Linked DNA regions of Arabidopsis thaliana. The protein of the gene in region 2 interacts with the protein of the main gene of each other region in a pairwise test. Each region holds a gene or a part of one and is shown on either strand. Other genes may lie near its edges.

Evidence for each region.
Region 1: the proteins of PIN1AT (region 2) and AGL24 interact in binary tests that used the Arabidopsis thaliana proteins (3 or more experiments, as listed by UniProt).
Region 3: the proteins of PIN1AT (region 2) and AGL20 interact in binary tests that used the Arabidopsis thaliana proteins (3 or more experiments, as listed by UniProt).

The regions. Positions count from the first base shown.
Region 1 is NC_003075.7:12,668,458-12,679,185, reverse strand, and holds AGL24 (AGAMOUS-like 24), read left to right. Parts: upstream 1-5,079; 5' UTR 5,080-5,269; intron 5,270-5,501; 5' UTR 5,502-5,540; coding exon 5,541-5,722; intron 5,723-6,436; coding exon 6,437-6,518; intron 6,519-6,785; coding exon 6,786-6,847; intron 6,848-7,313; coding exon 7,314-7,413; intron 7,414-7,524; coding exon 7,525-7,566; intron 7,567-7,650; coding exon 7,651-7,692; intron 7,693-7,791; coding exon 7,792-7,925; intron 7,926-8,007; coding exon 8,008-8,026; 3' UTR 8,027-8,289; downstream 8,290-10,728. Other genes in the region: AT4G24550 (Clathrin adaptor complexes medium subunit family protein), read right to left, coding at 283-381, 459-532, 616-676, 764-851, 1,008-1,102, 1,198-1,302, 1,383-1,483, 1,796-1,922 and 5 more; AT4G24530 (O-fucosyltransferase family protein), read left to right, coding at 9,473-9,613, 9,704-9,766, 9,849-9,930, 10,032-10,102, 10,171-10,259, 10,336-10,539. UniProt on the Arabidopsis thaliana protein: Transcription activator that mediates floral transition in response to vernalization. Promotes inflorescence fate in apical meristems. Acts in a dosage-dependent manner. Probably involved in the transduction of RLK-mediated signaling (e.g. IMK3 pathway).
Region 2 is NC_003071.7:7,837,585-7,846,669, forward strand, and holds PIN1AT (peptidylprolyl cis/trans isomerase, NIMA-interacting 1), read left to right. Parts: upstream 1-4,355; 5' UTR 4,356-4,761; coding exon 4,762-4,996; intron 4,997-5,828; coding exon 5,829-5,953; 3' UTR 5,954-6,358; downstream 6,359-9,085. Other genes in the region: EMB2296 (Ribosomal protein L2 family), read left to right, coding at 1-6, 240-576; AT2G18025 (uncharacterized protein), read left to right, coding at 1,232-1,301, 1,378-1,412; MSRA5 (Peptide methionine sulfoxide reductase family protein), read left to right, coding at 2,623-2,931, 3,268-3,380, 3,466-3,610, 3,715-3,912; HIS1-3 (histone H1-3), read left to right, coding at 8,511-8,597, 8,670-9,085. UniProt on the Arabidopsis thaliana protein: Prolyl cis/trans isomerase with specificity for phospho-Ser-Pro bonds.
Region 3 is NC_003071.7:18,804,315-18,814,988, reverse strand, and holds AGL20 (AGAMOUS-like 20), read left to right. Parts: upstream 1-3,863; 5' UTR 3,864-4,332; intron 4,333-4,772; 5' UTR 4,773-4,795; coding exon 4,796-4,977; intron 4,978-5,979; coding exon 5,980-6,061; intron 6,062-6,252; coding exon 6,253-6,314; intron 6,315-6,421; coding exon 6,422-6,521; intron 6,522-6,624; coding exon 6,625-6,666; coding exon of another isoform or gene 6,667-6,675; exon of another isoform or gene 6,676-6,788; coding exon 6,789-6,830; intron 6,831-7,055; coding exon 7,056-7,190; 3' UTR 7,191-7,484; downstream 7,485-10,674. Other genes in the region: AGL6 (AGAMOUS-like 6), read right to left, coding at 8,698-8,794, 8,882-9,036, 9,130-9,171, 9,249-9,290, 9,364-9,463, 9,584-9,645, 9,776-9,854, 10,355-10,536. UniProt on the Arabidopsis thaliana protein: Transcription activator active in flowering time control. May integrate signals from the photoperiod, vernalization and autonomous floral induction pathways. Can modulate class B and C homeotic genes expression.

The DNA.
Region 1 (10,728 bases), on a different chromosome or scaffold from region 2:
CAATTTGCTTAACTTTGAATCTTTGGATTCAGTTCAGTTCAGAAATTCAAGAAAAATCCCAAAAGATGCAATTTTGCCAGTTCCAAGAAAAGAGATCATATGATGTTTTCAGGGGCAAACAAAATAAAAGCATATAGCCATATATGTTGATACCGAAACAAGAAAGTATCCAAATAGAAGAGACAACATTCAACACAGTACTGTGAAGCAAGTGTGATCCGAAAATGAAAAGAGAAAGTACTTAGACATACAAGTGAAGGATAAACATTATCTGAAAACAGGTCATATCCTAGCCACATAAGAATTCGCCTGTGTCACATATCTCACCCAACGATATGGATTATAACTACTTGATTTCTTTGCTATCTGCAAGTATTTGACCTGCATCACCCAATTCATTAGCGTTAATGATCGAAGAGGACGGTTAATGGCAATGCAAGAATCGGCATATTACTTACCTGAAGTTTAGAAACATTGTACATAGGTATCGTGAACGTCATGCTGACTGGCCCTGCTTCCTTTGTGATATTACCTACAACGAATTGAGAATTATCAGTAATGCTTTATTTTCCCCTGAGAGAACAAACATTACAAACTTTTGTCTTAGAGGGTAACCATGAAATTCCTGTGAAAATGTAAGCTTTGCACGCAGTGTATGCTCACCCCCGCCAACAATCTGGAATGCCACAGTTAGCTCATGGAAGCAACATACAGTTCAATATATACCTAAACTAGCAAACCACGTGAGAGATTTAACACTTGCCTTTTTTAAATTCCATTCAAGCATTTTGTTGGATTCCTTGAAATCTGTCCTCTGTCCAGCAGCACCGGGTTCTAACTCAAAACTAGCCCTGTCACAATAAACATAATCGTTGATTCTATTTCTTGTGTGATTCAGAATTCGGTATATCACTATAGCTGGAATTTAAATAAATTCATCGTATTCTCTTCCTCATGTACAATATCTCAGTGATGCACTTGTACAAACCAATCAAAAAGTTATGTACCTGGAAGTATAATTTGGCAATGGCATCTGAACAGTGATTGTGTTTGCAATTATGTCTGAAGGGAACTCAGCGCGTATTTTAATAATCACTTCAGCCTAAATTTCAGCAAACAGAAAAATATTTATAGAGCAATTAAGAAATATACGCAGTTTTTATCTGACTCAGAAGACATGTACGCATGAAATTTCACCTTAAGACGTCCAGCCTCTTCAATCAAGGTATTAACATGAAAAGGAGGCTTGAACTCCTGAGTCATACGGTAATTCATTACTGGAAATTCACCATCTGGTGGAACCTGAAAACAGAACGCAAGTTAAAGACTAATACAACATGCTATTACAAGATGTTTTCTGTACTAAATATTTTGACGCTCACCAGGGACAAAGTTCTATCTGAATCGAAGCTATCCAGACGAACAGACTCATGAAAGTTACAATCATCAAGTATCACCCCTGAACCTGAAGAACTCCTATAATCTGCAACATTTCAAGTGTGATGTTACCAAGGGTTAGATTGTATTAATAGATCAATCCCCAGTTGATACTGATGTGCCTCAAAGATGCAGAAAAAATGCTACAAGAGTAACTACATATATTTACGAATTGGGTTATGACTTATGAGGGAAGTTTGTAAGTGGAACATACAGCTTAGTTGACATTTAAGCATTGTCAACGCCAAATGTCACAGAAAGAGACACCAAGATTTCAAAGAGTGAGACAAGATAGAATATGACGTTGATTCCTTCCAAATATAATAAAGATGATTTAAAGGGGTGAAACAAGAAATACCATATACTGATCTCCCTCCTCTTCCTATGTTTAGGTCTTCATTAAGAGCTAAACGGATTTCTGGATTACCAGAAAGATAGCTCTTCATTTGAATGGTGCCATCAATCTCAGAAGTCAGTATATATCCCTGTTCAGAAATCAGAAAAATAATGGATATTTTCCATGAAGAAAACTAACATTAAGATGCAACTACATGTATTAGGACATAATACAAAGCATTGATCCGCAGAAATGGGTGGTTTGATATGGCAAGAAGAGAACATGCCAAGACTTCTGTACTTTTGATATAATAAACTAGAAGCAAGTAACTACTCACGCTTGAACTAAAAGTAACACTGATTTTCTCGATGATGTCCACAAAAATTTCCTCTCTTCTCCGACCCCCAGGATCATTAGCCACAACCGATTTTGTAACTGCAGTTCCAGGCATTCTTTTGGCTCCTTGCTGCATAGCATAAATTAAAGGGGTCAGTCACATATACCAGGAGGAGGAAAATGAAAAGCAATCTTACTGTGAAAATGGCAGCAGGATCAATAGGCTGAAGGCGGGCAGGAGAAACCACAATCGGCTCATTGAATATATAAGATTTCAAAACTTCGGTAGATGTAGTTTGCACGTAACCAAAATCCTAATCAAAAGAGCACAGAGTCTTATTTAATAAAAAAAAATCAAAACTGGGAAAATAAACAAATATAGCTACTATATAGATATAAACATGCTAACAATGAGAACTACATCAAGACGAGACTTACAATAACTTCATCAAGCAACTCATACACGAGCACAAAGTTTTTCCTGAATGAATCTTCATTCAGAACACCAAGATAATCCTTAATAACACGAGCAATCCTTTGTAGAAGCTCCAAAACAAGAGAGGGTGACACGTTAACTCTCGTTGTCGCAACAAAATATAGACCAACAACCTTGACATGGAAGTAGTTCACGCCATCGACATTCTATAAGCACAAAAAATAAGTTAGATGAAATCATTACAGCTCACAACCAAACAGAAAGTATAATACCTACAAAGATAGGTGGCGCCTCTGCATTGCCATCCTCCTTCCAGAACTTGACTTTACGGAAGAATGTCTCTGTACTTCCTTTGGGTACCTCAGCCCGGTCTGTAGCAATAAAACGTTACACATCTTGAAACTTGTATTGGATCCAACCAAATCGTATAATCTCAAAACAAATAGCTTTCTTCTACTACATTACATACAGATACTCTGCCCAAACTAATTGAATAGTTTTGCTATATTTGTACAATCTGATTTGGAAATTCAGCTCAACATAATTTGTCATCGGATAAGAAATGTTGGTAGATCAAACAGATCAATGAGCTTAGAGAAGATTTCAATGGAAAATTCTCATGAAACAGTGACATAAGACTCGACTCTGAAGAGAAAAAGCAAAACAGGAAGAAGCAGAGAGGATCAGATCGAGAAAGAGAGCTTACAGTCACGGAAGACGATGTTATCTCCTCGCTGAGATAAGACGAAGAATTGGGAGATCATCATCGTTCCTTATAGCGGTGGATTCCGACTGTTTCACCGCGAGTTTGGTTAAGTCTACTGATCGCCGATCGGTCTCGTCTTTTTGTGTGTCTGGTGGTGAGGTGGTTCACGTTTTACCATTTGCCGTCGTTATCGTGAAGCTTCTTCATGAGACGGAGGGTTCTGTGTTTTTGTGAATTATGATTTCTTGTTCTTATATGGGCCTATTTTTAAGACATCAATATGGCCCAAATTTCGAACTTGTTATGAGTTTAAGGAAATAAGTAGTAAGTACTATAAATGATGGTTCGATCTCGGAGGAGAAAAAAAAAAACATTGTTTACGAGGAAGCAAAATGTGAGTTGATATAAAGGGTACAACACATAATTTATTTTTGGAAGTCAAAACTTTGAGGATTAAGCTGACAACGAAGGTTAGTGAAGACTTTCGGGATCGAGCAATCGGGAGATATACATGAGCCTAGAGGGCTGACAAGATGACCAAGCATTCCAAATGAAAGGCTTAAGATTTTTCTTTTTCTAAACTCAAGTAAGAAACACAAGATATATGAAAGGGTAACAAGGGTCAACAACAAGTCTAAGCTTTTTAAACGTGTTAGATGATTCTTCTTGAACACTATTACAATTACTGTTTAGTTTCACATTTATATGACCTTGGGAGTCTTCTAGCTCGTCCCAAATATATTTTCAACATATTACTATAAGATCCTAAAGACCAATAACATTGATCTACACCAAAAACTCTCACTTTCTGATTTTGCACTCGCTTTTTTTCCTCCCATAAACAAAACCAAAGGCTTACAATACTAAATCTGTCTCACATTCTTAGTGCTTATTTGTTTTAGTCATAAAGAACTTAATCTTATACAGATTGAAGTCTTAAAGTCATCTATATTACTTTTCACATGTATCATTATGAGATGGTACGTTTCCCACGAATTTTATCAGTTTAGTTTAATTTTCAGTTGTACTTTGGGAGAAAAAATTTACAAGATACTTGTCGGCCATGATATCACCCTAGAGTTACCGGAGTCCGGTGATATATCATTTCTAATTAGGGTTAAAACTTAAAAGGGTATAAATGGCTGATCAAACCCAAAAATAAAAGATAATGATGACGGTGGGAGACGAGTGATCTTATCAGGTGTCGCATCTAGCATATATAGGTGAAAGACTATAAAAAAGACATGAAATATTTAATAGACACAACTTTTGTAATAAACCAAAACCAAAAAGGTAGATGAACTGATGAACAGCATCTTCTAATTACGAATAAAAAAAGTAACCAAACTTTCTTTCCATTAGAATTGGTACGTAGTTCCTTGTGTATTGTGATTTCTTTCATTTTCCAATTATGTTTTTTTATTTTATCATGTTACATTTTTGATAGTGGGTAACTTTTGTATCATTTTATTTGACCTAGCCATATATAAATCTATTAACTTATACGGAGTAGTATTTCACGTCATTTATTTTTATTTTGTTTTTAGATGGGAAGTTATTCAAAACTAGACTAAAACAGTAAAACTAGGAAACCCGCTACTGAATAAAGTTACAATTCCACATTATTCCATGACAGACTAATTGAATTAGAAGGTTAGGTAAATTATTAAATCATAACTGTAGCAGTCTCTTCGTCTGGCAGCTCAGTCAGACAAAACACAAAGTGTGTTTATGTGTTATTTTTAATGATTATAGTTTGGGAAAAAGACATAATCAAAAGGGATACAAAACATATGGCCCATTGATAAGTATAGATCACTGTTTAGCTAAAAAAAGCAGACTCTTTTTTCCAATCTTGAACACAAACACAGTCACCATCTCTCTCTCTCTTTCTCTCTCACTCACACATTAGGGAGTAAACAGCTACCAGAAAAACCTTTTTTATCTTCTCACAAATTTAATAAAGTGGGTGCTGAGATTGAATAACGTAATCCAAGATCCTCCAACTCACAGAAAGGTAAAAGCTGTGAATCTGTGTTCTTTCTTCTTAAGCAAAGTGTTTGATGAATTCATCTAGTCCTGTCCATTCTTTTGCTTCTCATGGTTTATGGATCTGATCTCTCTTTCTCTCTCTCTCTAGCCATTAGGGTTTCCTAAGAATATTATATAAACTCTCTTTAGCTAACACCGTTCCAATTGGTTTCTTTCTTTGTTCTTGGTCTAAAATCTAAATGGTGTTATGGGTATAGGCAGATTCAAGAACAGTAGTGAAGGAGAGATCTGGTAAAATGGCGAGAGAGAAGATAAGGATAAAGAAGATTGATAACATAACAGCGAGACAAGTTACTTTCTCAAAGAGAAGAAGAGGAATCTTCAAGAAAGCCGATGAACTTTCAGTTCTTTGCGATGCTGATGTTGCTCTCATCATCTTCTCTGCCACCGGAAAGCTCTTCGAGTTCTCCAGCTCAAGGTATATTCTATCTTTTTGTTAGTAGTTGTCTTATTTTTTTCAATCCATGTTTGTGTTTTTGAGAATATGGTTGGATAAATATATTAAGATATGTATTTAAATGAGATTTTTATTTTCTCGTTTACTCTCTAAAGTTAATTATCAGTAGGCTCGGAGATCTCATGTACGGCATAATTTGATGACCTAAATTATTATACTTTAAAGTATAGGATTGATGTTTTATTACTTTTATGTATAACACATCATGTATTTAATTCCGTTTAACATAATATGGGTTTTTAACGTGTAATTTTTCAATCATTTTCATTTAGACTCATGGTTAAGATTTCTGTACTGGGAAATAAGAGAGCAGAATATTATAGTGTGATTTTTGTTAATTAGGAAAGCATATGTATATATGGATACATAGTACTTACCACAATTAGAATGAATTTCTTTTCCCTTTTTTCATTTGACTTTGTGTATTACAAAAGTCTTTGACACTGTCACTTGGTATGATTGGGGATTAATTCTTAACCACTCGTTTAGTTTATCTTGGGAAGCATTACCATAATTGGGAAACGAGTCATCTGTCTGTATCGTGATGGCTACTTCTGATTACTTTTCTTTTATTATAACCAAAAAGGCTTCTAATGTACTTAATTAATTTTACAAATGTAATATGGACGAAGGAAATGTTTATAAGAAAGATGGATTGTTTGTTGAAACGTGTAGAATGAGAGACATATTGGGAAGGTATAGTCTTCATGCAAGTAACATCAACAAATTGATGGATCCACCTTCTACTCATCTCCGGGTATTTTCGATATCACTTACTCTTTTTTTTTTTTGTGGATTTTAAACTCTCTGCTCTTTTTACCAAACCCTTCTCTTTTTATCAAACCCTTCTCTCTATAATATTATCCGATGTTCACTTTGTTACACGTGTTTGTTATAATTTTTAGCTGTAAGTCTAAATATAGAAACATTGAGTGGCATATAATCATTAATCTTGAAGCATCTAATTAATTGGTTTTACATATTAATAGCAGAATCCTGAAACTGTTGACTTTGCATCTAGCAGCTTGAGAATTGTAACCTCTCCAGACTAAGTAAGGAAGTCGAAGACAAAACCAAGCAGCTACGGTATGGCTCCATTGATATGTTATGCAGATAAACCTATTTTCATATAGGCTATAGCTGTAAGAGATCATCTATTTCATGTGTGTGGTTTTTTTTTTTATGTTTTTTCAATGATGTGTGCATGCTATTTTTAGGTTTTAGAATCTATTTCATGGAAATTGAAGATATTTCATTTCACGTGTAAGTTCGTCAAGTTGTGGCGTGTGTCTTGGAAATTGATGTTTTGTTTGTAGATTTTAAGAGCTACTTCTAAAATTTACAAGAGTTTTGTAATTTTCAATTATGGCCCATTATTCTCATTAATTCATTAAAAAAATTATATACATTACTATCTATATCTAGCATAGGTAGTTTTTTTTTTCTTTTTCTTTGGTAGACCTACTGAACAAATATCTGATATATCACTGACTGGATAAATATCTATAGAGATATTTTTGATAGAAATGAGTGTTAATTTAACGTAAAACAGGAAACTGAGAGGAGAGGATCTTGATGGATTGAACTTAGAAGAGTTGCAGCGGCTGGAGAAACTACTTGAATCCGGACTTAGCCGTGTGTCTGAAAAGAAGGTTTACTACTATACATAAACTAATAGCATGCATATTTTCCTTAACGTGGCATATAAATAATAAGCTGTACATATATAAAAGTTTGACTTTGTTGTTGTTATTGGTAAATAGGGCGAGTGTGTGATGAGCCAAATTTTCTCACTTGAGAAACGGGTTAGTAGTTAGTACATACAATTCGTATAACTAATGGATCATAAGCCTATCTATAGCTAGTGACTTTCTTAATAAGTGAAACAGGGATCGGAATTGGTGGATGAGAATAAGAGACTGAGGGATAAAGTACGGCTCTAAACCCTTATAGATATCATGGAATAACCTTAATCTATTTTTTTATGTATAAGAAAATATGATGAGGGAACGTATATTATATATCGGCAGCTAGAGACGTTGGAAAGGGCAAAACTGACGACGCTTAAAGAGGCTTTGGAGACAGAGTCGGTGACCACAAATGTGTCAAGCTACGACAGTGGAACTCCCCTTGAGGATGACTCCGACACTTCCCTGAAGCTTGGGTATAATTTGTTTAACTGAACATATTTCAAACTTTTTGTTGACATTTTGTATGTGGATGTTTACTAACTGTTTGTTGGTTAGGCTTCCATCTTGGGAATGAATCTGAGAGAGAGAAAGATCCAGCAGAGTTGACTTCGATGGAAGCCCACAAATATTAAGTCTACCTTTTCCCTTTCTTTTCTTTGAATAAGTGTTGAAAAAGAATTGAGATGGGAAGGATGAATTCTCATTGCATTGCAGAGAAGCAAGTTTCAGATATTGTACGTGTTATTGGTCTTTATAACTATTTTGCACCAAAGGGATTCTTCACATCACGGACAAATAATAATTTTAACACTAATGAAACAAGTAAATATAGTGAAACGATAGGTTTTCTATAGTGATTCTTTACATTAACAACAATGAAACAATAAATATAATATTGGAGAGGGGTGTGAAAGAACAAATATGTTAATTAATTTCTACAAATGTTTTCACCTCCTTTCTCGATTCATATAAAACAAAGGTAAGTCTTTGTTCCTTACCTTCACTCTCTAGAAAAGATTTTTTTGGCCAAAAATATGTATTCACGCAATCAGCAGAACAAAAACCTCGGAAGATCACGTCCAACGAAGGACCTTTAGGCTTAGGGGTAACGTCATGTCTTCCACTTTTGAGCAACCTTGCAAACCATCAACGAAGTCTTTCATGTGCATTTTATTCAACAATGGAGTTTTGTAAGAAGGAACTATTGAAAAAACTAATGGAACTAAGGTGATCTAGATAGTGAACTTAGCTTTTCCCAAACTTTTCTTTATGCACTACAAAATTTCAATAAATTAAGTTTTTAGAAAAGGTTCTCAAGTGAAGTTAGAATTTTATAACTCAAACAATATTCATGTACGTGTCCACCGGTTTTCATGGTTAGATTTTGAGAAAGAGTGAGTCCAAACTTTTTAATAACGTTTTTGATTCCGTGTAAGAATGTGTGATTCTCCCTCCTCCTGAAACCCTAACCCAAGACAGGAGATCTTTCTAACACATTCTATACTAATTCACAAAAATCTTCCAAGTTCCGTCCGATGTGGGACAAACAATTCTAATATCCCCTCTCTAGTTACCGCTACGAGCCTACGACCATCATTCTTTGAGTCGAAGTTATACATATGAAATGGGAGGCGTGATTCACGGGTGAATCCTACATTTGAGAAATTAGAACCTATGATCTGTGACCATATTACAAGATTTGAATCTGAAAATAAATTTTATTCTTCCCAATATTTGTTTTTGCGAAAAAAAGAGATTATTTGGAATTGCTGACGTCACATCTCTCTCAGGAGATTCCCACCCGGAAGTATCAACTGTCGTCGTGTATCGGTTGTTTCCGTAGATCTCTGTTACCACTTTCCATCCAATTTCAACAAATTGGATTTGGCAAACTTTCGGATCAGAAACGTGCTCGGGATGAGGAGGTACACCGAGAAAGTTTGGTCTTTTATTCGTTCGTCGCTGAGTTTAGAATAAGGGATTGTCTTCATCGTACGACTCTGTTTTTGTTGAAAATCGAATGCTCCAAATGAAGCAGCCATTACAGAACCTTAATCAGTCGCAGAAGACAGCTTTAGCTGGTGTTTTCGTGCTCCTTTTCCCGATTCTCTATCCGAATCTCTTCAGCCCTCTTGGTCGCGCCTCTCCTTCTCTCTTCTCCGTCAGTCTCTCTCTCTCTATCTCCGATGATTTATTTGGAATTTCACATTTTGGGATTGTGAAGCTGAAGAATTAAGTTTGGCATTTGCAGGAATGGAATGCTCCAAGGCCTAGACATTTGAGCCTACTCCAAGGCGCTCTTGATCGACAAATTGTAAGTGGGTTTAGCTCAGTTTCTTGGATGTATCTACTACGTTCCTCTAAATCTTTTTCTTCTTCCTCGAACCAATGTGTAGTCGATCAGACAACAAGTTGAGTTATGGTCTCCCTTGGCAGATCAAGGTTGGAAGCCTTGCACTGAATCTTATAGAGGCGCTTGTAAGTTTCCAAATATAAAGCTTTCTTCCTTCTTTCATCGTTTACATTCATGTGCCCTGAAAAGTTTGTATTTTGATTGATGGGTTTGTCACTCTTTGCAGCCTTGCCAGAGAAGTCTGAAGGGTTTCTTCAGGTTTTCCTTGACGGCGGACTAAATCAACAAAGAATGGGAGTGAGTATAAGAATTTCAGTCAATTTTTATGGTGGTTTCCCTTCTGACTCTTCTTGTTCCTTTTGCAGATATGTGATGCTGTTGCTGTTGCCAAGATAATGAACGTTACACTCGTGATTCCACGCCTTGAAGTAAATACTGTTTGGCAAGATTCAAGGTAATCTACTTTGAAACTTGTAAGTTGTCTGGTGCCTGATGAATTTGGTGATTTATGATTTGGCATTTCTTTACAGTTCTTTCACAGATATATTTGATTTGGATCACTTTATAAGTGTCCTTAAAGACGAGGTGCGGATTGTTAGGGAGCTTCCAATACAGTATGCCTGGAGCACTCGTGATTATTACGCTACAGGTATTCGAGCTACTAGGATTAAGACTGCGCCTGTTCACGCTTCAGCAGAGTGGTATTTGGAAAATGTCTTACCTATTATCCAGAGGTTTGTGCTTTCTAAACCTGGTGATCTATCAGATGAATAACTGCATTTTAAAGTCCTGGAAAATACGATACTACATATGATCTGGAATGCTTTATAGACAATACTAAGGGAGTGTTCAATGTAGATGTTTTTCTGTCAAGTCACGTTTTTTTTTTGTGTCTATCTGAGGAACTATATATGTCTGTAGTT
Region 2 (9,085 bases):
TACTAGGTTTGTTTCTCTTATCCAAAAATCTTCTGAGGCTTATAAACATTTTCAGATCTGTTGATTGTTTGTTGTAGATTATGATGATCTTAATCAGATTAATTAGAAAATGCTTATGTATCATTGGTTATTTAGTGTAGTTTATGATGATGTTAATGGAATCATTTCGTTAATTAGAAATGCTTGTGGTATAGTTGTTGTAGTCTTGTGAATGATGATTTGAGTATATGTTTGCGCAGGATTAAGTTGCCATCGGGTTCGAAGAAGATTGTCCCAAGTGGATGCAGGGCTATGATTGGACAAGTTGCTGGAGGTGGAAGAACTGAGAAGCCGATGCTCAAGGCAGGAAACGCGTACCACAAGTACCGTGTGAAGAGGAACTCATGGCCTAAGGTTCGTGGTGTGGCTATGAATCCAGTGGAGCATCCTCATGGAGGAGGTAACCATCAGCACATTGGTCACGCCAGTACTGTTAGGCGTGATGCACCTCCTGGACAGAAGGTTGGTCTTATTGCTGCAAGGAGGACTGGTCGTCTCAGAGGTCAAGCTGCTGCTTCAGCTGCCAAGGCAGACTAGAGTTAAAAGAGATAAACTTTGTTTCTCTTGTTTTCTATGTTTCAAGTTTTGTTGTCTGTGTTTCCTTTTGAACCTCATTCTGAAATCCTAAAAGATTTTTATGATAAACCTTTCTCTCTTCTCGAAAAGCTTATGTTATTCACATTGCATACTCTCAATACGCAAAGTTTTCATTTTGTACATATGAAAATTATGTAAGAACAACGTAACCAATTCTCGTGATCGTTAAAGTGGTAGTTGAATTGCAGATTTTCATCGAAACAGCAGCCCGCCGCATTGCTATCACAAAGAATCAAGTCTTTGGTGTTAGTCGAATTGAAGCAATCTGAAGTACCTAAAAAAAAATTACAAGGAATCTTAAAAACGAATCTTGCAGCAAACCTTCAAAATGACACAGAGGACTCAAAGACATTTATGTGCGTAATACAAGTCTGATTCTATAGTTGATTAGCTGAGTTTTGGTAATGTGTAATATTTGTGTTTATGTGATTGAGATTTACCTAAATTGTCTTTGTCCATCAATTTTTAGCGTTTGAGACTTTGAGGAATTGGTTTTAGTATCTGATCCAATAGCTAGATTTGTGTTGCTCTTGCTCTATAATTGTCTTCCAGGTTGAATATGGTCCAAGGATAATTGGTTATCGTCGGCTCTTAGATGTATTCTGCTCTAGTCATGATTCTAGACAAGTGTTTGGACAAGGTCCTGATGTGGGTAACCAATACAGGTAAAAGAGCTGTTTGGTTATCTTTGAGTTTGTTTGTTTGGCCCAAATCTATAACATTTGAATATATGTTGAACAGATCCTGTATTTTCACTAACTGTACAGAAGAGTTGAGACTGGCTTCTACCAGCAAAGAAAGGGAGCAACTTAATACAAGAAGCAGTATCGTGACTTCTCTCTTGTCGTTGACTCCTCTCTTCACGAGTCTCATCTCCGACGCTTCTTCTCTTTTCTTCTGTTGCTTTGGTTCTCATCTTCATCACACTTATTGCAAGTTTGATCAAAGGCTCAAAATCCAACAAAATTCACCATTTTAGACACCTTGGGAAGCACGTTAGCCGGAAAACCTTGAAAAACCCACAAGGGTTTTCAATGCGCCTCCTTTGGATAATTGGATCATACATACACCATTATTGGATAATACTCTCTTGAGTCATGAAGATTAACAGAAAACAACATATCATCAATAACACAAGACGGCTCTTGCCTCAGATCACTCAACTTATCTATTTCTCTCCTTGACTTCAAATTAGTTTCCCTGGGTTGGTAAGCATAAGAACAGAACCGTGCTTATCCCTCATGTCAAATTTTCTCTTCCATCACCACATATGTCACAAACTCTCAGTCGCAGAGGTGCGTAGGTTCGGACAGAAGGTCTTATTGCTGCTAGGAGGAGAGGTCAAGCTGCTGCTTCAGCCGCCACTAGGGTTGTTAAACAATAAATAAATTAAAAAAAAACATTTGCTTCTCTTTTATATGTATATATATCCGTTTGGACCTTGTTCTCAAATTGTAAACATTTTTATGATAATCTTTGTCTTCTCTCTCGAAAAGTTTAAAGTATTATTGCAAATTGTAAAAAGTTATCATCGCAAGTTTTGATTATTGTTCTCGACCGAATAATTTTAATATTTAAACGAACCGTATCAAACCGAGTATTTGGTTATATGTTTAAAACGTCTTTAAGTATCAACTAAGTAGAAATATGGTCACCAATTGCTAACTGGTAAAAGCGGTTGAGACTCAGCATGATGAGAGAGTCTCACCACGGTTCGAGTCGCGATATTGGTACCTCGCTCCTACCAAAAGGAATCATGCCTTAATTGTTAGCCGAAATAAAGTAATCTAAATCACTTCTTTTTCAATAATCATGCAGCGAACCCTCTAAATGAATCAGAGGGTCTCAACTCTCAAAGACAGAGTTTAATGGAGGTGGAGCCATGGCGTGACTTTTTGAGCGACTCGACTCAATCGACTACAGGTTGTTCGTTCATATGGAGTTTCGTTCCCTGGTTCGAAACAGCAGCTAGACGAAAACTGTGTAATGGCTATATCACTGAAGAGGAACCGTTTCTTCATTCCTTATACGAATCTCGTCTTCTTCTTCTTCTTGTGTGTCTCTCTGCTCGATAAAACTGTATCCATCAGGATTTCGAATCAGATCTCGGATACTGTCGTTGATTCTCCCGATCGTCCTTTGAAATCTGCGGTTTTCGCTCTTGGAAGCTTCTGGAGATCGGAGGCGGCGTTTGGTTGTATCAATGGCGTCGTACGAACCTCCGCCGGTTACGCCGGTGGAACGAAGACGAATCCGGAGTATAGGAACTTAGGTGATCACGCCGAGTCCGTACAGGTTGGTTTTATTGTTTCAATTTTGAGGATTGAGCCAATGTTTACTTCGTTTATTCGATGTTTAGCTGATATGATTTGATTTGATCAGTGCCTATGTTGTTCGATTTGATTTGCTCTACTTAACAGATTTCGTTTGGATAATAAAATTGGAGAATGCTTTATGTGAATATCATCATTCATTAGCTGATTAGGTTGTTTTGTTGAAATTTGGTTATGTGTGATCTTAGTGTATATGTGATTGTCTGATTGAAGTTAAACTAAATTGTCTTTGTTCATCTGACTTAGTGTTTGAGGAGCTTAAAGATTTGTGTTGCTCTTGCTCTGTAATTGTCTTCAGGTTGAATATGATCCAAGGATAATTGGTTATCGTCAGCTCTTAGATGTATTTTGGTCTAGTCATGATTCTAGACAAGTGTTTGGACAAGGTCCTGATGTGGGTAATCAATACAGGTAAAAGAGCAAGTAAATAGCTGATGCTTATCTTTGAGTTTGTTTGTTTGGACCAAATCTAAAACATGGGAATCTTTTTGAACAGATCCTGTATTTTCACTAATTCTACAGAAGAATTGAGACTGGCTTCTACCAGCAAAGAAAGGGAGCAACTTAATACAAGAAGCAGTATCGTGACCACTCAAATTCAACAGCTAGGAACGTTTTATCGCGCAGAGCCTGATCACCAGGTTCAGCTTTAAGTCTCTCTGCATCTTCCATTCATATCACGGCTGTTTATTAGAGGATAAACGATTAAGAAAATCAATCTTCTCTTGAATTTCTGTATTTGCAGAAGTTCGAGCTGAAACAACATCCATTTCTTATTCAGCTAATTGGAAACATGGTAGAAGAAGAGCTTGAGAGATCAGCTCTAGCCACAAAACTAAACGGTTACGCAGCCGAGCTCTGCCCGCCTAGAATCCAGAAACATATCGACTCTAGAGTTAATGAGATCATTAGAAAAGGTTGGCCCGTCTTGAGAGACATCTAATATATAAGCCTTGTGAGATCTTCGCGTTCTTGGATTTGATTGCTTAGTCTCAGATGTAAGTTTTGGTTCATTCTTTTGGCCAGGAATTTGGTCACAACAATGTTTATGTCTTACTCTTGCCCCTTGAGTGGTGATTGTTCAGCGTTTTGTCTTGTTTCTTTTAAGATCTCTCAAATAGTATATGCTTTTTGTTTTCTTGTAAGAAGATTCAGTTAGACTTTCATTGTATCATTATGGTATTGATTACCAATTCATTGATATTATATATATATATATATATATATATATATATATATATATATATATATGATATACTTTGATTGCCAATCTCTCACATAGAATATGCTTTTTATGAATCCTTTACATCTTAGTATCATCAGTTGGTATTTTCGCAAATACAAAGAAAGTTCTGGGGTGATTTGTCAATAATAACGATTTGGGATTTTTATAGTAAATATTGTAAGTTTGGGTGTGATTTTTAAAAAATCAAAAGTTCCAGGGTTATTTCATAAATACCGAAAGATCCGAGGCGGTTTCATCATATACTGGGCGATCCGTGGTGGTTTCGAATATACCGAAAGATCCGGGAGCATTTTGAATCTGCTGAAAGATCTGGGGCGATTTCGTAGATACCAAAATATCTGTGGTGATTTCGTCTCACAGTTTCAATCGTCGATAATCATTAGGGTAAAGCAAAAATAGTGAAGCAGAGCCGCAAAAACACTTTTCCCAAAATCAACGAAGATAGATTCAGATCGGAAGCGAAAGAACGATTCGGTCTCCTCCACAGATCGAACATCGAAGGAGAAGAAAGACCATCATCACAACAAGCATCGAAAGAAGAGCAAGATGGCGTCGAGAGACCAAGTTAAGGCATCGCACATTTTGATTAAGCATCAAGGTTCTCGGAGGAAAGCGTCGTGGAAGGATCCAGAAGGGAAGATTATTCTGACTACCACTAGAGAAGCCGCCGTTGAGCAGCTTAAATCGATCCGTGAAGATATTGTCTCCGGCAAGGCGAATTTCGAAGAAGTGGCGACTCGTGTTTCTGACTGTAGCTCTGCTAAACGCGGCGGTGATCTTGGTTTGTTCTTATCCCTAATCTCTAGATCAGCGAGTTTAGGTTTAGGATGATTGAACTTAGGGTTAGATCTAGTGGCAATTAAGATTTTAGGAAATGAAGTTAATCTGTATAGTCTCAAGTGATGTTTGTTGAAGGAGTAGAAAGCTTGTTAACTGGATTCTATTGGATCTAACTCTTTACAGTGAAATTGAGCATAATGATCATAGCTTAGATCATTAGTGATGTTTAGAATCTCACAGTTCTTCCTCGATGTGTTTATAGTCATCACTAATGTTTAGAATCTATAGTTTCTAGCTTGATAAATCTTTAGTTGGTGCTCAGAAATTTTACTAATCTCTAGCTTCTATCATCATTAATGTTTAGCTTCTTCATATTCCTTAATAAATCTATTCTTGGCTCTCGTTAATCTCACTAATGTCTGTTTAGATAATCACCGATGTTGAGAGTCTAAAGTTTATCTTCCTTGATGAATCTATATCGGTGCTCACAAGTCTTACTATTGTCCACTTAGATCAACATCGATGATTAGAAACTAAAGTTTATTCCTTGATGTATCTTTAGTTGGTGCTCGTAAATCTTACTACTGTTTGCTTAGAGCATAACTATGTTTATAATCTAAAGTGTATTCCTTGATGAATCCATAATCGGTGCTCATAAATCTTACTAATGTCCACTTAGATCACTACCCATGTTTTCCTCGTGATGATTTATAATTGGTGCTCATCAAGTTTACTAACATCTTCGTAGATCATCTCCCACATAGAGTTTCTTTCTTGATGAATCTATAATTTGTGCTCATAAATCTTATGTTGATTTGTCCATCCCTGTTCAGGTTCCTTTGGTAGAGGTCAAATGCAGAAACCATTTGAGGAAGCAACTTACGCGCTCAAGGTTGGAGATATAAGCGACATTGTCGATACAGACAGTGGAGTCCACATCATTAAGAGAACAGCTTGACCTTATCTGATCTGATAGAAAATGTATTGAAGGTGCCTGCTTCGTTTCCCTTCTCTTCTTGACCAGAAGAACATAGAAGAAGAAGAATAAGAAGAATTTAATTCAAGGTTATTGTTATTGTGGTTTTGATTCTGAATCTGTCTACGAATTTGATACAACTCAAACATATGATAAAATCAGACAAGCTATCTCATTTCTTCTTAAAGGCTTCATAAGCACTCCCTGTCGTAGACAGTGACTTGTATAATCACATTTCAGTATCTTTGTCATGGTCTTACTGCAACATTCTGGCATCTTGTGTGTTGTCATTTTGCTCTTAAACTCTTGATAGTCTTTGGCTCTCGTCTCCACTCTTAATATTTGAGAAATCGTTTACTGTTAGGCGTAATTCAATGTTTAAACCAGTTTAGTAGGTTCTGAGCGGGATGTCTAGGTTTTTGACTTTTCTTAACAACATTTAAGGTTAGAGCCATTTAGCAATTAATCTAAACAGGTTTTTATTTTAAACAAGTCATGCAGAACTCCATTGTATGGGATTTAAGGATTCAAATAATTTTCTCTAGAAAATTCGAATAAATCGGTTTATTGGTTTAAATTTTGAGATATATACTGGTAACTGATTAATTATGTGAAGCCGGTTACACTTTTATTGCTCTTTGTAGTCAATATTTCCAAGTTAATGTTACTTGTTTTCTTGGAGTTTCAACTCTATTTATACTTATAAAACAACTATTGAAATTTCTAATTAAAGCATCCAAAGATGTTAAAGTAAGATAATTAATGTCATAGTTTCACATTTCATTCCATATAAATAATCAAAAGTCTTATTGTTGTTCATCAATCAAAAGCAAATATAACCTTCAGCATATATTTGGCTATACTAAGGTTCTTTTTACTCAATTTCTCATTATGTCTATAAAAAATATGCTTTCACTCCTAGCGGTTCTATGCATCATCGTTTCTGTAAATGCTTAGATGCCTCAGTTTCCGGCTCCATTTCCTTTTTCATTTCTATTCGAACCGATTCCTGGTATGTCAGGATTACCTGACATAACAAAATGTTGGTCATCCGTGATGGATATTCCTGGATGCATTGTAGAGGTTTCTCAATCTATTTTCACTGGAAAATTCGGCAATTTAGGTCCATCTTGTTGTAAAGCATTGTTGGACGCTGAAGTCAATTCCATGCCGAAAATTCCATTCATTCTGTTTTTCCCTCCGATGCTAAAGGAACAATGCTCAAGAATTGTGGGTGCAACTCCTCCTATACCAAAATAGAGTTTTAGCTTAGTTTTAAAAATCTATGATTTTTTTCTTTTCAACTTATTTATTGAAATTGTAGCTTACTCTACATGTTATACTCCAAAAAGAAAAAAACGATGATACAATAATAACATAGTTGTATTTGGGTTCAATACTTACTCATTTTTCAATTATAATGAATAACACCTTGAAACATTAACTCCGTAATTAATTTAGTCTTGCAATTTTTCATAAATTGTTTATATATGTCGTAACACAAAATTTGCGAACGGTTAATAACTTTACTAGATAAAACCTCTCTAAATAGGTAGATGTGAAAAATAAATAAATTTTTGTTTTAATAAATTTTTCAAATGATAATCTATATATATTTTATTTAATATATATTTTCTAAAACCAAATTTCAATCTTACCTTTTCTAAAACCATATTGTTAAAAACTAAAGAAAAAGTTGGACCAAGCAAAGCCTCTCGGTAAATGTGGTAAATAAATAGAACGATATAACTGAGAAGAAGAAAATAAAACAAAATTAAGAAAATAAAAAGATAAACATATTTAAGTTACAATATTTAAAAATATTAAAACACTTCTTTTTAAGAACAAAATGGGGAATTTTATTTATGTTTTGAATAGATCAACAATTATTAATAGAATGAGTTTAGTTTAATATATTAAATATAAAAAATTGAATATATAAACAATTGTTTTATGTATATATTTTTTTTTTGATAGGGTTAAGGATTTTTTTCTATTTTTGTTTTTAAATGTAATAAAATTTGAAACACATGTAAATATCGTATTAGTAAATACCGACCAAAAAAAATATTGTATTAGTAAATTTGACACATATCGCAATTTTTGTGAGCTAACAATTTTAAAAATCAAATAAGATGACGAACAAAGCTCTGGTTTAAACTTTCTCCCATCAATTTTTTCATTAAACCAAATTTAACCAATTATTTGGCCTAATAACTGCGTCTACGTTATTAAGAATAAGAACTTATTTTGTGTTTCAGTAGAAAACACACTCGTTCACAAAATGCCTAGTAAGAGTAAAGGACGATCACCGCCACCAAGTGTGTTTCTCGGATAAACACATGGAATCCAGCCATTACTTAAACGACACGTGTACGCTCATGATTTATTAATGCACACGTAATCGATCCTCTGACAAAAACCATAACGAATACAGAAAACACACGAATACACTTCCCTGCGCTATAAATAAGCTAGCACGAAAAAATTTAACAGATAGAGACAAGACAAGCAAAGCAACACTTTCACTAATCCTCTAATGGCAGAAGACAAGATCTTAAAGAAGACTCCGGCGGCGAAGAAGCCGCGAAAACCGAAAACCACCACTCATCCTCCATACTTTCAGGTGAGGTTCTAACTTTTTCTTTTGAGTTCCTATCTATTAAACTTAGTTTTTTCGTTTTGGTTTTTGATGAAGATGATAAAAGAGGCTTTGATGGTCCTGAAAGAGAAGAACGGATCAAGCCCTTATGCTATAGCTAAGAAGATAGAGGAGAAACACAAGTCTTTACTTCCAGAGAGTTTCCGTAAAACACTTTCTCTACAGCTTAAAAACTCTGTTGCTAAAGGTAAGCTCGTGAAGATCAGAGCCTCTTACAAGCTCTCAGATACCACCAAGATGATAACGAGGCAGCAGGACAAGAAGAATAAGAAGAATATGAAGCAAGAAGATAAAGAGATCACAAAGAGGACTAGGTCTTCTTCGACAAGGCCTAAGAAGACTGTGTCTGTGAACAAACAAGAAAAGAAGAGGAAAGTGAAGAAGGCGAGACAGCCTAAGTCTATCAAATCTTCAGTTGGTAAGAAGAAGGCCATGAAAGCTTCCGCTGCTTG
Region 3 (10,674 bases), about 11 Mb from region 2:
GTTTTGTCTTCATATTTGATTTCAGCTAGTAAAAAGAAGGGACTGCTATGTTTTTAGCCTATATATATACCCTCCTCCAACATGGATCCATCCTTTTGAGTGTTGGACTATAACTGCTTGTCGTTTTCCACCCCAAAAAACGCTATGGTGTTTGCTCCTCTAGTTCTGAGCAAACTTTGCTGTATTTGTTTTTTTGTCATTTTTGGGGTTACATTACATATGTATTATTCCAAATCTCGATTGTATTCAGTGGAAATTTTATTTTAAAATTATTTTACCCAAACTCGTATAATAAAACCATATAGTTAACTTTTTTTGACATCTGAAATCCAATTAAATTATTATACTATTTGCGTAGTGCAAGAATAAAAAAAGCCCAGGTGGGGAAAAGCTGACGCAAGCATAGTTTATAGATAAAATTAATTAATGGATTAAAAAACAAATTAAAACAAAAAAAAAGGGAACCACGAGAATCAGAAGATGAAATAAAGACCGTTGGATGAAAGAGCATAGGGCGGTGCACAGCACGCTCTGTGGTCCCCTTAACAGAGGAAGTGAATCTCCTAATCCTCCTTATTACAACAGGACCCATGTGCCCGACATGTGTCGGTACCTCAACTGGGAAGTGCCAACTCTCTCCCCAATGGCCAATTCTAATATCTCCTTCACAGTCTCCAATTAACTTCATTTTCCTAATCCTCTTTATCCGACATTTTATTTTTTAATCACAATTCCTTAATCATACTTACACAAATGTAGTACTCCATTAAACAAAGGTTATATTCTACTTATTGGCTAACCAAATATTATATGGTTTTTCTTAGTCGTTGATTTGTACTTTGTATATTTGTTATTTAGAGAGATTCATATAAGTGGATTCCAATGAATGCGCAAATGTTATTGAGGGGCTATTGATTTATAACTCCCCCAAATCACGCGTCTACAGAAAGTTAACCAACTAATAATGATTTATGGTGGATGAAGAGCTTCATCTATAGTTACTCGATGAATTTTAGTACTATATGATTTTGTTATAACTAAAAAATCATTATTAACTATCATGCCTAAGATTCTCAAACATCAGTCGGAATTATTTTAAAGAATTTTACATTAAATTCACCCTTTTCAACAATCTAGTTCAGAAATAAATGTATCGTCCATTAGTACTCTCTATGGTTAAAAAATGGACTATACGGGGTTTTTTTTCCTATCTTTTACACATTTATTTGTAATTAATAGTATAACTTAGTAATTCACACATAAATTGCTTTAGTGGCTAGATTGTCTAAGTGATCCTTTTCAGCTACCTTATGACCTTACCCACATAGAAACACAATTATTCAAGCGAGAAAAACGCTTTTGGGATACAGTACTGGATTTATTGGTAATCGGAGAATATAAATGGGAATAGACCAAACATAATTACTGATGCATGAAAGTGCATAAACAAAAATTTGCATGGCAGTCACGGGCATCATCTTTCACAGACTAAAATGCCAGAAGCTTCAAACTCCCACCAAACCTAAGAAAGCCAAACCAACATCACAAAATTGGTAGAAACAGTAGAAAACAAAAGGAGTAGGTTTCTGGATAACAAAGGAATCTGTCCTTTTCTAAGTTTCTTTAGGTGCATTCACAAATTACAAACATGTTTTATATATTTTTTAAAAATCAGTAACAAACAAGTAGATATCAATTAGCATGTAGATTCAAAATATAGTGAATTAGTGATTATATACGCTAGCATTAAGTAGATGGTGATAAGATAATGATACAAAGATATGAATTAAAAGAAGAAAAAAAAAACACCTAAAGAAGTGAATATAATAGGCATATACATATGAGGAAAATGAAAACAAAAGGAGCGAAAAATAGATTTAACCTAAAAGAGGAAGTAAAGAGGTTATAAGAGGTAAGAAAAGTAGGACCATATAATAGCTATATTGTAGAATTTTATTATTTGGAGATATGGCAATTTTTGTGAGGGTCCCATGAAGACTAAAGTGTGGAGCACGATTTATCTTTGTAATTAATAAAATAATAAATATATTATTATTGTCTCGGGATTTTTCGATTGATGAGAAAAAGTAAGAGGTGCGTTTTCGAATTATCATTGGCTAACGTTTGTACGTGACTGTACGGACGACGTTGATGTATTTCTAATATTGTACTCTTTTTTCCCACCCTTATTTCTCTAATTCTTGTACATTAACCCCAAACTAATTTTACAAACACATTGGTGTTTAATCATTGTGAAATTTTGATTTATCTAAAATACACTTTATATGTTATGATTTTGCATGAGCTTATGACTGGTAAACTCATGAGATTTCCATATCACCATGTTGGAAGTTACTAACCATACATCTTTTAAATGCAAATTCACATCATTCCTAGACTGCTAGACAGACATGTACTTACTTATACAAGGTTTTTCTAATCTAATGGCAACAAAGAAACTTGTGACTAAACGCATACGTATCTCTCATATAGTGTAGACTAGAACTCTACGTATCTCTCATATAGTCATATTTTTAAAAAAATTATACTTTGGGATCTCGAAGCGAAAATTAGATTAGTTTATATGATTATGTACAAAAAAAATCGGATATTACTACCACTTAAAAATAATTGTAGTGGTCAATCATATCTAAAATTAATCGCAGTGAACAAAAACCTGAAGCATAGCCTGGTTCTATCTTACTTTCGATGTGACACATTACTAACACGATTGTTTTAATCTATAGGACGAATCCTTTAAGTAATGTATAGTTGGTTCAGTTACGTTAGATACTTTTTGTTTTGGATTTGTCTCAACCAGTTAAGAAGTGATCGTATTTACTAGTGGTATACGATGATGTTTCTTTAAATCTGAATTGGGTCTACAAAATACATAACTAAACTTCAAACCGGGTTTATACTTTATACAAACACGAAAATATAAAGATAGAGACAATTCACCAGAGAAGATGTGTATTTATATAAAAATTATCCATACAGATTTTCGGACCTATCTGTTTGATATTTAATATATATAAATACGTTAACATATTTCACCAGAGAAGATGTGTATTTTTCGAAATAATTAGTTTGTGTGGTCCTCCTCCCGATATAGATAAAAGATCATTAGATATCGATTAACAATTTTATCTCCAAAAAAGGATATTTTTTTGGTGCCACTAGCTAGACAAGACGTTCGATAAGCTGAATTATTATTGGATTTCTAAGTTACGTTTTCTTTAGTAATCCGAGGGACCAAAAATAGCAAATGCCTCTTTAGACACGTCGCTACTTAACGCCATTGCCCCATTGTCTCTGTACTAGCCTCCAAATATTTGGATTAATGGTCACTTAGGTAATGAGGAAATTGTAGTATTTTGTAATGTGGTTTTGTCCAACTTATAAAAACTTACAATTGCAAGTAATTAATTATTCACATGGAGATGTAAGATTATGTCATATAACTAAAAACACAATTTAAGAACAACAATAAGAAACAATGGACAAACAAGCATAGAAAATATACAAATCAAATGAATTTTATCTGTTGGGATGGAAAGATATTATAAAAATTGATTAAAACCAATATAGTTGTATTACTCACAGGTAAGAAAAAACGATATTCTTATTTTTCATATCAATTACAAGTGGGGGCATATAGGTACGAGAGAGTGTTTGTGTCCACATTAAAAACAAAAAAAGATTTTTGTTAGAAGAAATTTAATAAAAATAATTTGACAGGCATTTCCATCCAACTAGATATTTATGGGAGGGAAAAAGATGTGTATGTAAAAATGTCCATATGTATCAAAATATGCTATTTTTGGTCTTTCTTAAGGCTTTTTTCCAAAATAAGTAAAGGATGAGGTTTCAAGCGTCCATCATATTTGCGACACATATGACTGACTATTTAGCTCCTCCCTCTTTCTTTCTCTTATTTTATTATCTTTCTCCAAGAAATAAAATAGAAAAGAAAATATATATGGTTTCACAAACACCATTACCATAACTACAACGAGAAGAGGATCTTTTTTAAGGAGAAAAGCAGAGAGAGAAGAGACGAGTGTGTGAAGTTTTTTTGTCTTTTGTTTCTTTTATTACACACAAATAGATGAAACGAGGAAAGCTACTTCTTTTGCTACTTCCATAAAAAGGTTCTTCCTTTCGCAGAGAATCAACTTTGATCATCTTCTTCCTTCTCTTTCTTTCTTCTTCTCCCTCCAGTAATGCTTATATAGTCTCCTCCTATATCTCTACCTATACATACACAAACCCTTTATCCTCGAAAGCTTCCTCCTGGTTAGGTTTTTATCAAACCCTTTTAGCCAATCGGTAAGATCTCTTCGTCATGATCTTTTCTTTTTTCTTTTGCTTTGTACTCTGATGGATCTATAAACTTATATGGGTTTGGTTTCATTTGGTTCGATTTGATGTGTTTGGTTTCTTTGTCCTAAATCTCATGAAAGGAGGTTGCATCCTTCAATTAAACCGATAACAAAAGTTTCCATTACAGACTTATAGATCAGATACTTTAGATTGTTTTGCTTTTTGGGTACTTAATCTTTCGTTGACTTCATCAGTCTTCTCCCACCCAAACAAAAAAGTCATATTTCGATCATATCTTCATTTTTTTAACCTACTCTCTTTGATTCATATATGAAATGGGTTGTTTTATGTGTGTGACTAATCTTGTTATTGAGGTGGTTGCACCATTGATCTACCGTTTTCTTCAATTTTTGAAAAAATAATTTTATTTTTTTTCTGTGTGCAAGGGAAATTAACTAAAGAAGAAGATATGGTGAGGGGCAAAACTCAGATGAAGAGAATAGAGAATGCAACAAGCAGACAAGTGACTTTCTCCAAAAGAAGGAATGGTTTGTTGAAGAAAGCCTTTGAGCTCTCAGTGCTTTGTGATGCTGAAGTTTCTCTTATCATCTTCTCTCCTAAAGGCAAACTTTATGAATTCGCCAGCTCCAAGTACGTTCTTTTTGTCTTTCTTACAAATCATCCATAGAAAGAGAGAGAGAGAGAGATCTCATTAACCTCTCTATTTGTATCTTAATTTTTTTTGGTTTATATATGGATTTGATTGGCCTTTTGTGGAATCACATCTCTTTGACGTTTGCTTTGAGAGGTGTGTTTAAATGAGTTTCTTGGTTTCTGCAAAATTAGGGCTATTATTAAAGTAGTATCAAGTACATATACCCTCTTATTTATTGTTTTTTTATTTCCGCTAGTATATCATCTTGTTTAATCATCTGTCTCTCTCTTTCTCAATTAGTTTCTCAAGTTATGATATAAATAAAATGTGCTCTTTCGTAGCCAATTTACACTTGTTATATATTTGATCTTCTTAGAGATCATGATCACATAGTATTAATAAAACAACTTTCAATTAGTATTCTTTTGGTTTGAACTAATCTTTGTCTTGTTATTGCTTTAAGCAAAACATGTTGTTCTAATTTCTAAGTGATGATTAGGAAGTTGTTTCATCATTCCTGATTTATTAATCCCTCATGCTTCATTTCATGCTCATTCCTAATTTAGTTCAATTTGTTTGAATATTTGTTCCTGATTTTGACATAGAAACTCAAAGCTAGCTAGCCAAACCTAAATGTTGATTGTTTTTGAGAATCAAAAGAGTTTTATCTTGTACTGTTAGGTAGTAGGGAAACCAAACTTACTTTTGATGAATCATTACTTCTGTAAATGAAAATGCCAGCTTTTGATCAGATGTTTCAGACATTTGGTCCATTTGGGAAAGTACTTCTTTCTCTCGAACCTACTAAATATAAAGATAAGACCTCACATGTTTTTGATTTTCTAAAATAGGGGGAAAAAGTACAAGACTTTTCAAGCTATGTCCTTGATTAAGTCTAGTGATATCTTCAATAAGAAATGTTTTGAGAACACCATTGGGATCTAAATTTGATCTCTGATGATTTACTTTAATGTTCCAATTATATATGTTTTTGACAGTATGCAAGATACCATAGATCGTTATCTGAGGCATACTAAGGATCGAGTCAGCACCAAACCGGTTTCTGAAGAAAATATGCAGGTTTATTCTTTATGATCTTCTTGCCTATATATCAATTCTTGCTAATTAATACTTTTACTATATAATATCAAAGAGCGGTAATGAATATAACCACAATATGTATATAATCTCAAGGTCACAGGATCAAGTCACATATTTATAATTAGGATATATATGTACATGCAATAACATTTCTGTGATATAACCAACAGCATTTGAAATATGAAGCAGCAAACATGATGAAGAAAATTGAACAACTCGAAGCTTCTAAACGGTTTGTGATATATACATATATACAAACACATTATTCATCACTTGTATATATCTATTTCATGATGCATAGGAGAGTTTGATCAATTAGTGTTTTGTTTTTGTAATCAGTAAACTCTTGGGAGAAGGCATAGGAACATGCTCAATCGAGGAGCTGCAACAGATTGAGCAACAGCTTGAGAAAAGTGTCAAATGTATTCGAGCAAGAAAGGTATGTGTATATATTTATCTGTTATATCTCCACATTATAAGTATTGTTCGAATCATCTTCTGAAACCACTCATAATTATAACTCAATTTCTCATCTCTTTTAGACTCAAGTGTTTAAGGAACAAATTGAGCAGCTCAAGCAAAAGGTAAAGTAGTTTTTATGAGTGTATATAAACAGATATAAGTATGTATGCAAATTGTGTAATATTCCAAGTAAGTAAGCCTCTTGTGCTTGCTTTTTACAAATTGGAATCTAAAACTTTTGCAGGAGAAAGCTCTAGCTGCAGAAAACGAGAAGCTCTCTGAAAAGGTATAATATATTCTTATGGGTCTCAAGTTAGGGTTGCACATTCGTTTTTTTATTCGGTAAAGATAAGAAAGTTGGGGTTCTTTTTGGGGGTTATTAGGTTAGGAGAGTCCTTACTAGTTTTTCTTGGTTATCTTCAATCATCAACCTTCTTTAATTTATGTATTGTTCTATATATCTTCTAATTTGCATCTATTAATTTTGTGTAATAATTCTATTTGAATGCAGTGGGGATCTCATGAAAGCGAAGTTTGGTCAAATAAGAATCAAGAAAGTACTGGAAGAGGTGATGAAGAGAGTAGCCCAAGTTCTGAAGTAGAGACGCAATTGTTCATTGGGTTACCTTGTTCTTCAAGAAAGTGATCTCCACTCAACAAAAAAAACAAAAAAACAAACTAAGTAAAAACAGGTTTAGCAGTACTGAGAGTGTATAAGGACAAGTAACAAAACTCTAAAGCTGCTTCTCTCTTGTTGTCTTATTTCTCTCTCACTCTCTCTCTCTCAGTCACTTCTTTAATGATTCTGAACTGCTTGTGTTATGTATCTATGTTCTTACACTTGCCTCTCTAGAATGTAATTTTGATTATGTTTTGTTTTCATGTATCAATTTAGCTTTCTTCCCTCAAAATCATAAAATCAGGAATATCTGTACTATATAACTTACTGGTTTCTCAAGTCGAGAGACTAGAGGTCTAGAACTTCCCAAACTGGTAAAAAAATATAAAGAAAATTATGAGAGCACATTAAACATTATCCATTGGCCAAAAATCAATAACTGCATCATTTCAGATGAAGAGCTGATACACGACAACGGTGGCAACTCTACAATACAAAGATCGGTCTAGTAGCATGTGTGACTGTCTTGGAAGAAGTTGCGTCCCCCCCAAGCAAGTTCAAAAGATCACCGGGAGAGGAGATTTAGGGCATAAATCCAAATGTTGTAGAGGCTTTTAGCCCATCAAAGAAAAAAAAAACATTATACGCATAATCCAATATTTCAAATCGTTTAGAATCTTTAGATAATAGAGATACATGATTGTGATATGACATGTGCCGTTAACATTTATATGGGCCCATGAATTTATTTTGTAATGGCCCACTTATAAAAGGGCCTACTTTGCGATAACAGCCCATAAATATAAGAGAGTATTAAAAACTTAAATTCTAGTATGTAAAAAAAAAAAAAAAACCTCAATAAATATGAAGACTTTATGGAAAAGACATATATCAACAACAGTAAAGTTTGCTAAAGAAAGAGGAGCTCTTCTCTTCCAAAAGTCAAATCAAGAAACAGCAATGTGGGTCCTACCTGGCTTCATATCATTGCGCTTTTTCCAAGGTCAACTACGTGGCATTTTATTATTCGTTCATTTTTTTAGTTACAGGTTGATTTCATTTACTCACCCAATTGTTTCGGAAGTTCATTACTCCTACTTGCGTAGTTGAGCTGAATCCTCCTTTGATTATTCGTCACCCAATTGATTCGACGTCGCACGATTTATTATTTGTTCCTACTATTCACAATTCAGCATTCATAAATATATGTCTGAGATTTAATAGTATTCATGCCAAATAAATCTATTCATTTAATTGATTTTAGAACAATTATTAAAGTTTATTTCATTTGGAAAATGTTGGTAAAACCAAAACAAAAATAATGTTTTAGATCAAGTAGGAGTAAGAGGAGAAATTCTTCAAAGCACATACATGCGAATATAGATTCACACGAGCTGGAAATTAAATGACAAACATCTAGTGCAAAAGTTTTTCTTATAGGAAAAAAAAACCCAGAAATCTAATTTGAAAAAAGAACAACTGTAGAGAGCTGAAATTGGCCTGACCGTGGCATCGTGGTCTAATCAACAGAGAGTCAAAGAACCCAACCTTGGACGAAATTAGTCTCACCTGCCACGTTACTCTTTGATACCGAAGACCCTTCACCTTGCACGTAGTAATGTTGTTGAAACCTAATCCAAATACCAAACAAGTCTTATAATCATATCTTATTTCTATCCATTTATTTGTAAGGGCCGGGAAAAATGGTATATTCTTACCCTATTTGTAAAAAGGGTTCGGTGTTGCAATCCAATACATTAGGATGAGAAGGCTCTACCGGAAATTCAGAATTGTTTGGATCCCCGGCCACCGATGCCGCCGAGTTTGCCCATAAGTCTTGAAAGGTTTTGAAAGCATGGCCTTCCGTTTCAAACTATTGAAAATTTATGTTTAGTTAAGATCCAAATGTCATAATTAATTATATGAGAAGTTATAATATAATTTTGCGATGTCTAGAAATAAAAACCTTAATCTTGAGTTGTTTGTTTATGTCTCCTAGTTGCCTCTCCTGCCATTTCAAACATAGATTGATTGATATGCATATATGTTTTGCAGTTTGGTATGAAACATTTTTATATAACTTGCCTTTTTCCTAAGGTCTTCCATTTCTTCCATCATAACTTGTGTCTGCATATTTTAGTTGAATGTTTTAGTTATGAATATATTTTTAATGAAACAAGACCAGTCTAGATCATGTGACCTTGCGCTGTCGAGTCGCGGTAAGAGCGGCTTCGAGCTGCCTCTCGAGCGCTTGCAGTTCCTTCACACCCATTTCTCCAAGATCTTCTCCAAGCAAATTCCTTTTATAATTAGCAATTATCAACACCCATAACAATAGATTTGTAACTATACATATATAATGGAAGATGACAATAACGATTTAATTTCAAGGGGTTATAGAAAACTCTTAATTACTAGACCTGTTAGTACGAACAAGAGATTCGTATTTGGATTTAAGCTTTGTCACCTCCTGACACCAACTCTGCACCATATAGATTATATGAAATGCATATATATAGTAACATGAGAATTTGAGAAAATAGAGTTAGCTAGAATCATTATCATCAGAAACAATAATTGTAAATATATTCAAAGTACGTACACACACTTGCCTGTGTAGTCTCTTCAGGCTTATTATTGCTTAGAGAGCAGTTGTAACAACGATTATACCGTTCGATTGTGCTTTCAATTCTACAAATTCAATTAAAACAAAAATGGGAGATCATTAGCTCGATTCAACAAATAAAGATTCTTCTTACGACAAGAACTCAAGTTATATATCTTACACACTGATCTAAAAGGGAAAACCCTAGTTTGTTTGTTTTTTTTTTTTTTAAAGCTAGAATTAAACCCATTTGAAACCTGTCATCTGTAAGATTAAAGAATCAAAGGAATTCATGAATGGGAAATCAACAAATTATAACGTACGGAAGGACCTATTAGCTTATGATAAAGGATCCAAGAGGGAGACACGATATAACGATGAACCCTAATTACCACAGGATAAACGATACAACCATTAAGAATAACCACAAGATCAAAACATGATCCGACTCTTGAATCGTACGATGTAACAAGTAGCAAATGAACCCATTTATTAATCAATTTTCATATAAAAAACATAGCTTTATTGGATGAATCTTAATATATATAGCACAAAAGTTGGTTCAAAGGAGCAAAGATATATATACCCAACACTACCAAACTCGTAGAGCTTGCCACGGCTTGAGAAGATGATGAGAGCAACTTCGGCATCGCAAAGAACAGAAAGCTCATAAGCTTTCTTCAGCAAACCGTTTCTTCTTTTTGAGAAGGTCACTTGTCTATTAATCTTGTTCTCTATCCTCTTCATCTCCACTCTCCCTCTTCCCATCTTTCTCTCTCCTTCTCTTGATTCTGATTTCTTCTTCTTCTCAAGAATTGGTAACTTTTTTTCAAGAATAGATAAAAGGAATAAAGTATCGTACACGATAAATGTGTTGCTATATATATAAACTTGTATTACTTTCAA